2 linked regions of the Xenopus tropicalis genome follow. The protein of the gene in region 2 interacts with the protein of the main gene of each other region in a pairwise test. Links are inferred from orthologs where the notes say so. Each region holds a gene or a part of one and is shown on either strand. Other genes may lie near its edges.

Evidence for each region.
Region 1: the proteins of coil (region 2) and pdlim5 interact in binary tests that used the Homo sapiens proteins (3 or more experiments, as listed by UniProt). The two-hybrid records come from large-scale screens. The link is inferred for Xenopus tropicalis from reciprocal best matches to the Homo sapiens genes COIL and PDLIM5.

The regions. Positions count from the first base shown.
Region 1 is NC_030677.2:76,504,660-76,508,883, forward strand, and holds the start of pdlim5 (PDZ and LIM domain protein 5), read right to left. Parts: upstream 2,860-4,224; 5' UTR 2,837-2,859; coding exon 2,741-2,836; intron 1-2,740. UniProt on the Homo sapiens protein: May play an important role in the heart development by scaffolding PKC to the Z-disk region. May play a role in the regulation of cardiomyocyte expansion. Isoforms lacking the LIM domains may negatively modulate the scaffolding activity of isoform 1.
Region 2 is NC_030686.2:52,249,646-52,253,297, reverse strand, and holds part of coil (coilin), read right to left. Parts: intron 617-3,652; coding exon 1-616. UniProt on the Homo sapiens protein: Component of nuclear coiled bodies, also known as Cajal bodies or CBs, which are involved in the modification and assembly of nucleoplasmic snRNPs.

The DNA.
Region 1 (4,224 bases), on a different chromosome or scaffold from region 2:
GCTTTGCATTTAACTACATAAAAAAAATGTCTACAGTGTGGTCTAATGTGAATTATTAAAGCTATAATTTAACATGCCATAGCAGCAAGCCCTTTGAATGTTTAAAGCAGCCAAAACAAATCTAATACGATTTATTCTGGCTTGGAGAGGTTTCCTTTTTGAATCCTGTTATTGTATCATTTAGATAATTTAGATGATTTAATCTGGTGACTAGAGAGTATAGATGACATTAAAAGATCAGCTTTCACGTCACTTGCAGGTCTGTTTTTATCTTCTACTATTGCCCCCAAGTCCATAGTTATTAATAAATACTATTCAGTCGATCCAAACATCAAACCCTCAAAGTCATGAGACTGTTAAAGGATGAAATACAGTTCATAGCTTTTCAGACTAATTATTACAAAGGTTACATTTTTTTGTGCCTTCTGCCACTGGTTTCTATTCTGAACCAGCTTTAGTTTATCATCCTTCCTGTTACTGTGCAGGTTCCCACTGATTTCCTCTCCTTCCTACACCCACTGTGTCTGCACATGAAAAATCCAGCCCTTAGCCCTCATGGGAGCCAGATTATGACAAACTAAACAAGCCTATGAGACTACACGAATAAGAAAACATTTCTCAGATGCATTATTATACAGCCTGTTAACCCATTAAGCCTCAGGATCCATCCTGAAAATAATGAAATATGCTATCCAGTGTGCCACTGGAAATCTAAAAGGGGCAAGCAGCAGTTACCAGATGAGGAAATATAGTACTAAAACAGTAGAGAAACAGAAAATAAAAGTAATGGAGAAGGTGAGCCCAATCAGTTAGAAACTTAACTAGGTGGTAACAGCCTTAATGGCCCAGAGGGTTGATGGTAGGATCCCCAAATCGCTGCATGTGTCAAGTATACAACTTGCTTAGGGAGGGAATTGTTCACTAACTTCTTCCAAAAACCTAAAGAGGGGAGCTACTGACTTCCACTGGAATGGTATTGCTTTTTGATTTAATTTTTTATCATAGAGAATTACATTTCCAGTCTATTTAATCTAGTAATCTTACTCTATCAAATGGCTACCTGTATTCATCCTAATGCAAGGATTTTTTTTTATGGGTGAACTGATGTTTTTAACAGAGGAAACTACAGAATATATAATAATGTATAGTATAGCAGTCAGAGAAAGGAAAATACTCAAAGGCAGCATAATACAGAAAAATTATACAGAAGCCGAAAGTTCCAGTAAAGCCTCTTTCAAAGTAAATGCTAACAATACAATGCCATTCAACTAGGAATTTTTACTCACTGATAATAAAACTGGAATAGTGGCTATACAAGTTAACAGTAACCATAGCTACACTACATCTTTAGCACTTTTTTCCTGCAATTTTTAGGGCATGAGTTGCATAACTATATAACAACACAAGTTGAGTGACACACAAAATGTCGACATAAACTCTATCAACATTCATTTTTTTTAAGAAGTTACATAAATTCATTTTCATAAAGGTACTTAACAAAACTCATATTACATTTTTTGTATAACAAACCGAGGCTGCCAAATATCATCTTATTGCCCAGAACAAGTCCTACAGCTCAAATCTAATCCAATGCAATTGCCCATAATCAGCATTTGCTCCTCTCATCAGCACAGCAGCACTTCATCTTAACTGAAGATACCATGTATCTTGTACAGCAATTGACAGAGAGTACAGTGATAGAGCAAAGATTTTGTTCTGTCTGCTATCTCTTTTGCTGGGAATCTAAGGCAGCAGGTCAGACACAGCTCATAATGGAAATGTTGTTGACAAGACTATGCCAGGCTGTATTTTTAAAATTAACGTAGGAATCCATACTGCTATAAAGTGAAATTTTCAGCAAAGATATGATCATTTTTGAATAATTTAGGATTTTCAGCATGACCTCCAGCTAAATTCACTTATACTCAACCATAAGAACATAGTTCCTTTATGTATATAAATACCAAGAGGTAGGATGTCTGTATCTGTGACTAATTAAACCATGCAAGAAGTGTACAAAAAATTGGCCCAGATTATACATTTCTTGAAAATAAATGGATCATAGGGGCCCACATACAGTGGTGTTGGCTGAAAACTGCATACTCTGTTTCAACAAATTTTACTAAAACTACCTTTGATCAAACAAAGTAATTTAAATATACACTTTGTAAATCAGGGCCGTACTAATAGAAAAAAAGAGAAAAACTGTACATGTGCAAGCCAATTCATTATGCAGACTCCAAAAATGTTTGGCAGCTGTAAGCGCCTCTTTGTTTTTCAGATCAATAAAGAGCATTCTCTATTGTCCTCAGAACTGTAAATTATTATGTAAAGAACAAAGGTGCAGAGTTGCAACCACAGTATGACAGATAGGATGAAAATTACCTATTTTCTACAGAAACGCGAGATAGTAGCAAATATTGATGCTTGGCACATACATGAAGCATTTCATTTCTTGATGATCTGAGTTCTAAATTCAGCCATGATTTTTGTAGTTTACACAAAATAAATTGTTAAATGATCTACTGTATTATTTTTTTTTAATTTATAACAATTACATTTATAAACATATTTAGAACATTTGAAAATATATCTACTTATTTGCAGGGGTCAAATGGCAACTCTATTAATACCTAATACACTTATTTAACAGACAGGCACAAGGCTCTGTCTTTAAAAGCAAAGTAATGTCTGACGTACACTGCTATCAGAAAAAGAACTGGCATAGATAAATGCTTACCCGGGAGATCGTTAGAGGCATGTTGAAGTCTTTGCCTCCTTGCAGCCTGAAACCCCAGGGAGCTGGGCCAACCAGAGACACACTGTAGTTACTCATTCTGGCTGAGTGTTAAGCTTCAAGCTGAATCTGTAAATAAATTGATAGGAGAAACAAAATGACTCAAAGTTGAGTTACAGATAAACCTACTATATATCATATATACATTTTAAATATACAGATATGGGACATGTTTCCAGAATGCTCAGGAACTGAGGTTTTTCCAGAGAAGGGGTCTACCAGAAAAATTATTAACATTAATTACTTAAACCCAATAGGATTGTTTTTTTGTCTCTAATAAGGATTAATTATACAATTATACCTTGTAATAATACAAGGTATTGTTTTATTATTAGAGAAGAAAATGAAATCATTTCTTGAAATTATAATTATTTGCTTATAATTGAGTCTATGGAAGATGGTCTTCCTGTATTTTGTAACATTCTGGATAATAGATTTCCATTTTCCAGTATTTATATTACAAACTTTGGACAAGCTCAAAATAATGACACAGCAAACAACTAAAACATTTGAAGTGCAGTAATTGACTATGGTACTGTTCTTCTAAATATCTAAAAAGCTCTGTTACAAATGACTGCTGTAATATTGCAACTGAAAGTGTACAAAGAGTGATGTACAGTTCGCCAAAAAATAACACAAGAACACAAGTTTACTGGGGACACGGCCTTAAATGTCCAGATTTTTGCTGAAACTCTTGAGATATGTGTATTGTACATTCCACAATGGAGGTTACACTTGGATTGGTAAAGTCGACCACAAGACATTGCTTCTGGAGTAGACTGCACTATGTTGCCAGAGCTTTTTTTTTTTTTGGGGGGGGGGGCAGTATACATATAAACAATGTTAATATGCTGCAGATTGCAATGGTAGAAGGGTGGGTTCATATTGCTTCAGATTACCATCACAACATCACTAGGAAGGGCTTTCCACAGTTCATACCTTTGCACTTTTCAACACTGAACCTCATTTTCCATTTTGCTGCCCAGTTTTCCAATTTTGTCAAATGGATCTGCAAAGTGGCAATGTATGTTAGGCACGCCCATTTCATTTTTGACACGCATGCATGCCTTCTTTCGTCCGGCCCCGCGCGTGCAATCATTTTGGTGCAAAATTCAAATATTTCAAGCGCTTACTGCCCTGCATTCATTCATAGGTCTACTTCCTGAAAGTTCCTGCGTGCGTTCATTGTACTGTTTTGCTGTGTTCTGACACCTGCCTGTTCCTGACTATTCCTGTATTGCTGCCTGAACCGACCTTTGCCTGTTTTGACTATTCTTCTGGATCCATATTGTGTTGCCAAAAGCTCATGAACTGTACTTTTCTATAATTACCGCCTGCCCCAAGTAGGAGTTCATTTTCGCACAGACTAATGCGATATTTAGCGCGTCTATGTGTTTGTGAATCATGCGTTAGTATTATTTCGGCAC
Region 2 (3,652 bases):
GTCTGTATCAGAACTAGAGATGGGGGGTTCTGGCTTCTTGCCCTTCCCAGGAGAGATTCCATTCACAGCCCTGGGGGGCACAGACACGGATCCCCTGGCACTGGCTTGGCGCTGCCCTTTTGCAGATGAGGGGGGTTTGTGTTGGGCAGGGGGGGGGGGCTGATCACTGCAGGAGGTGGTGCCAGAGGAGTCATTGCTGGGGGTGTGTCTCTGTGTATTTATAGTTTGTTGGGGGCGCTTCCTGCTACGTTTGGCAGGGGGGGTTTCTACTAAAGCTTTCGGTTTTTTCTTTGCTTTTTTCCCTCTGCGCATTTTCTTCTCGCCCTCCAGGAGTTCCTCTGAGCCACTGGTACTTCCCTTGTCTCTGGGCCCAGGCTCGGGGCCCGCTGGGGTTATTGGGGTACAGCTGCGCCTCGCTTTCTTCTCTCGTATCCCAGGCTCGGGGCCCGCTGGGGTTATTGGGGTACAGCTGCGCCTCGCTTTCTTTGCTTTGCGCCCAGAAGCACATTCATCCTCAGATTTCTGCCAGTGTCGTTTCCTCACTTGGTTCTGAGCTCCATCTGTACAGGGTTCTGCCTCCCGGCTCCCATCTGTGTCGGCTCCATCCCACTTTACTCTAACGGGCAGGGGGGGCAAAGAGACAATTAATGTAAAGCACCTTATATGTATACTCAGCCATTCCCCCCCTCCCCCCCCAATGCTGGATATACTCAGCCATTCCCCCCCCCCCAATGCTGGATATACTCAGCCATTCCCCCCCCCCCCAATGATGGATATACTCAGCCATTCCCTCCCAATGATGGATATACTCAGCCATTCCCTCCCAATGATGGATATACTCAGCCATTCCCCCCCCCCCCCCCCAATGATGGATATACTCAGCCATTCCCCCCCCCCCCCCAATGATGGATATACTCAGCCATTCCCCCCCCCCAATGATGGATATACTCAGCCATTCCCCCCCCCCAATGATGGATATACTCAGCCATTCCCCCCCCCAATGATGGATATACTCAGCCATTCCCCCCCCAATGATGGATATACTCAGCCATTCCCCCCCCCCCCCCCCCCAATGATGGATATACTCAGCCATTCCCCCCCCCCCAATGATGGATATACTCAGCCATTCCCCCCCCCCCCAATGATGGATATACTCAGCCATTCCCCCCCCCCCCAATGATGGATATACTCAGCCATTCCCCCCCCCCCCCCCAATGATGGATATACTCAGCCATTTACCCCCCCCCCCCAATGAAGGATATACTCAGCCATTTACCCCCCCCCCCCCAATGATGGATATACTCAGCCATTCCCCCCCCCCCCCCCAATGATGGATATACTCAGCCATTCCCCCCCCCCCCCCCCCCCCAATGATGGATATACTCAGCCATTCCCCCCAATGATGGATATACTCAGCCATTCCCCCCCCAATGATGGATATACTCAGCCATTCCCCTCCCCCCCCAATGATGGATATACTCAGCCATTCCCCTCCCCCCCCCAATGATGGATATACTCAGCCATTCCCCTCCCCCCCCCAATGATGGATATACTCAGCCATTCCCCCCCCCCCCCCCCCAATGATGGATATACTCAGCCATTCCCCCCCCCCCCCCCCCCCCCCAATGATGGATATACTCAGCCATTTACCCCCCCCAATGATGGATATACTCAGCCATTCCCCCCCCCCCCCAATGATGGATATACTCAGCCATTCCCCCCCCCCCCAATGATGGATATACTCAGCCATTCCCCCCCCCCCCCAATGATGGATATACTCAGTCATTCCCCCCCCCCCCCAATGATGGATATACTCAGCCATTCCCCCCCCCCCCCCCCAATGATGGATATACTCAGCCATTCCCCCCCCCCCCAATGATGGATATACTCAGCCATTCCCCCCCCCCCAATGATGGATATACTCAGCCATTTACCCCCCCCCCAATGAAGGATATACTCAGCCATTTACCCCCCCCCCCCCAATGATGGATATACTCAGCCATTCCCCCCCCCCCCCCATTGATGGATATACTCAGCCATTCCCCCCCCCCCCCCCCAATGATGGATATACTCAGCCATTCCCCCCCCCCCCCCAATGATGGATATACTCAGCCATTCCCCCCCCCCCCAATGATGGATATACTCAGCCATTCCCCCCCCCCAATGATGGATATACTCAGCCATTCCCCCCCCCCCCCCAATGATGGATATACTCAGCCATTCCCCCCCCCAATGATGGATATACTCAGCCATTCCCCCCCCCCCCCCCAATGATGGATATACTCAGCCATTCCCCCCCAATGATGGATATACTCAGCCATTCCCCCCCCCCCCCCCCCAATGATGGATATACTCAGCCATTCCCCCCCCCCCAATGATGGATATACTCAGCCATTCCCCCCCCCCCCCAATGATGGATATACTCAGCCATTCCCCCCCCCCCCAATGATGGATATACTCAGCCATTCCCCCCCCCCAATGATGGATATACTCAGCCATTCCCCTCCCCCAATGATGGATATACTCAGCCATTCCCCCCCCCCAATGATGGATATACTCAGCCATTTACCCCCCCCCCCAATGATGGATATACTCAGCCATTCCCCCCCCCCCAATGATGGATATACTCAGCCATTCCCCCCCCAATGATGGATATACTCAGCCATTCCCCCCCCAATGATGGATATACTCAGCCATTCCCCTCCCCCCCCCCAATGATGGATATACTCAGCCATTCCCCCCCCCCCCAATGATGGATATACTCAGCCATTCCCCCCCCCCCCCCAATGATGGATATACTCAGCCATTTACCCCCCCCCCCCAATGATGGATATACTCAGCCATTCCCCCCCCCCCCAATGATGGATATACTCAGCCATTCCCCCCCCCCCCCCCAATGATGGATATACTCAGCCATTTACCCCCCCCCCCAATGATGGATATACTCAGCCATTCCCCCCCCCCCCAATGATGGATATACTCAGCCATTCCCCCCCAATGATGGATATACTCAGCCATTCCCCCCCAATGATGGATATACTCAGCCATTCCCCCCCCCAATGATGGATATACTCAGCCATTCCCCCCCAATGATGGATATACTCAGCCATTCCCCTCCCCCCCCCAATGATGGATATACTCAGCCATTCCCCCCCCCCAATGATGGATATACTCAGCCATTCCCCCCCAATGATGGATATACTCAGCCATTCCCCCCCCCCCCCCCCAATGATGGATATACTCAGCCATTCCCCCCCCCCCCCCCAATGATGGATATACTCAGCCATTCCCCCCCAATGATGGATATACTCAGCCATTCCCCCCCAATGATGGATATACTCAGCCATTCCCCCCCCAATGATGGATATACTCAGCCATTCCCCTCCCCCCCCCCAATGATGGATATACTCAGCCATTCCCCCCCCCCCCCCCCCCAATGATGGATATACTCAGCCATTCCCCCCCCCAATGATGGAAATACTCAGCCATTCCCCTCCCCCCCCCAATGATGGATATACTCAGCCATTCCCCTCCCCCCCCCAATGATGGATATACTCAGCCATTCCCCTCCCCCCCCCAATGATGGGATATACTCAGCCATTCCCCCCCCCCCCCCCCCCCCAATGATGGATATACTCAGCCATTTACCCCC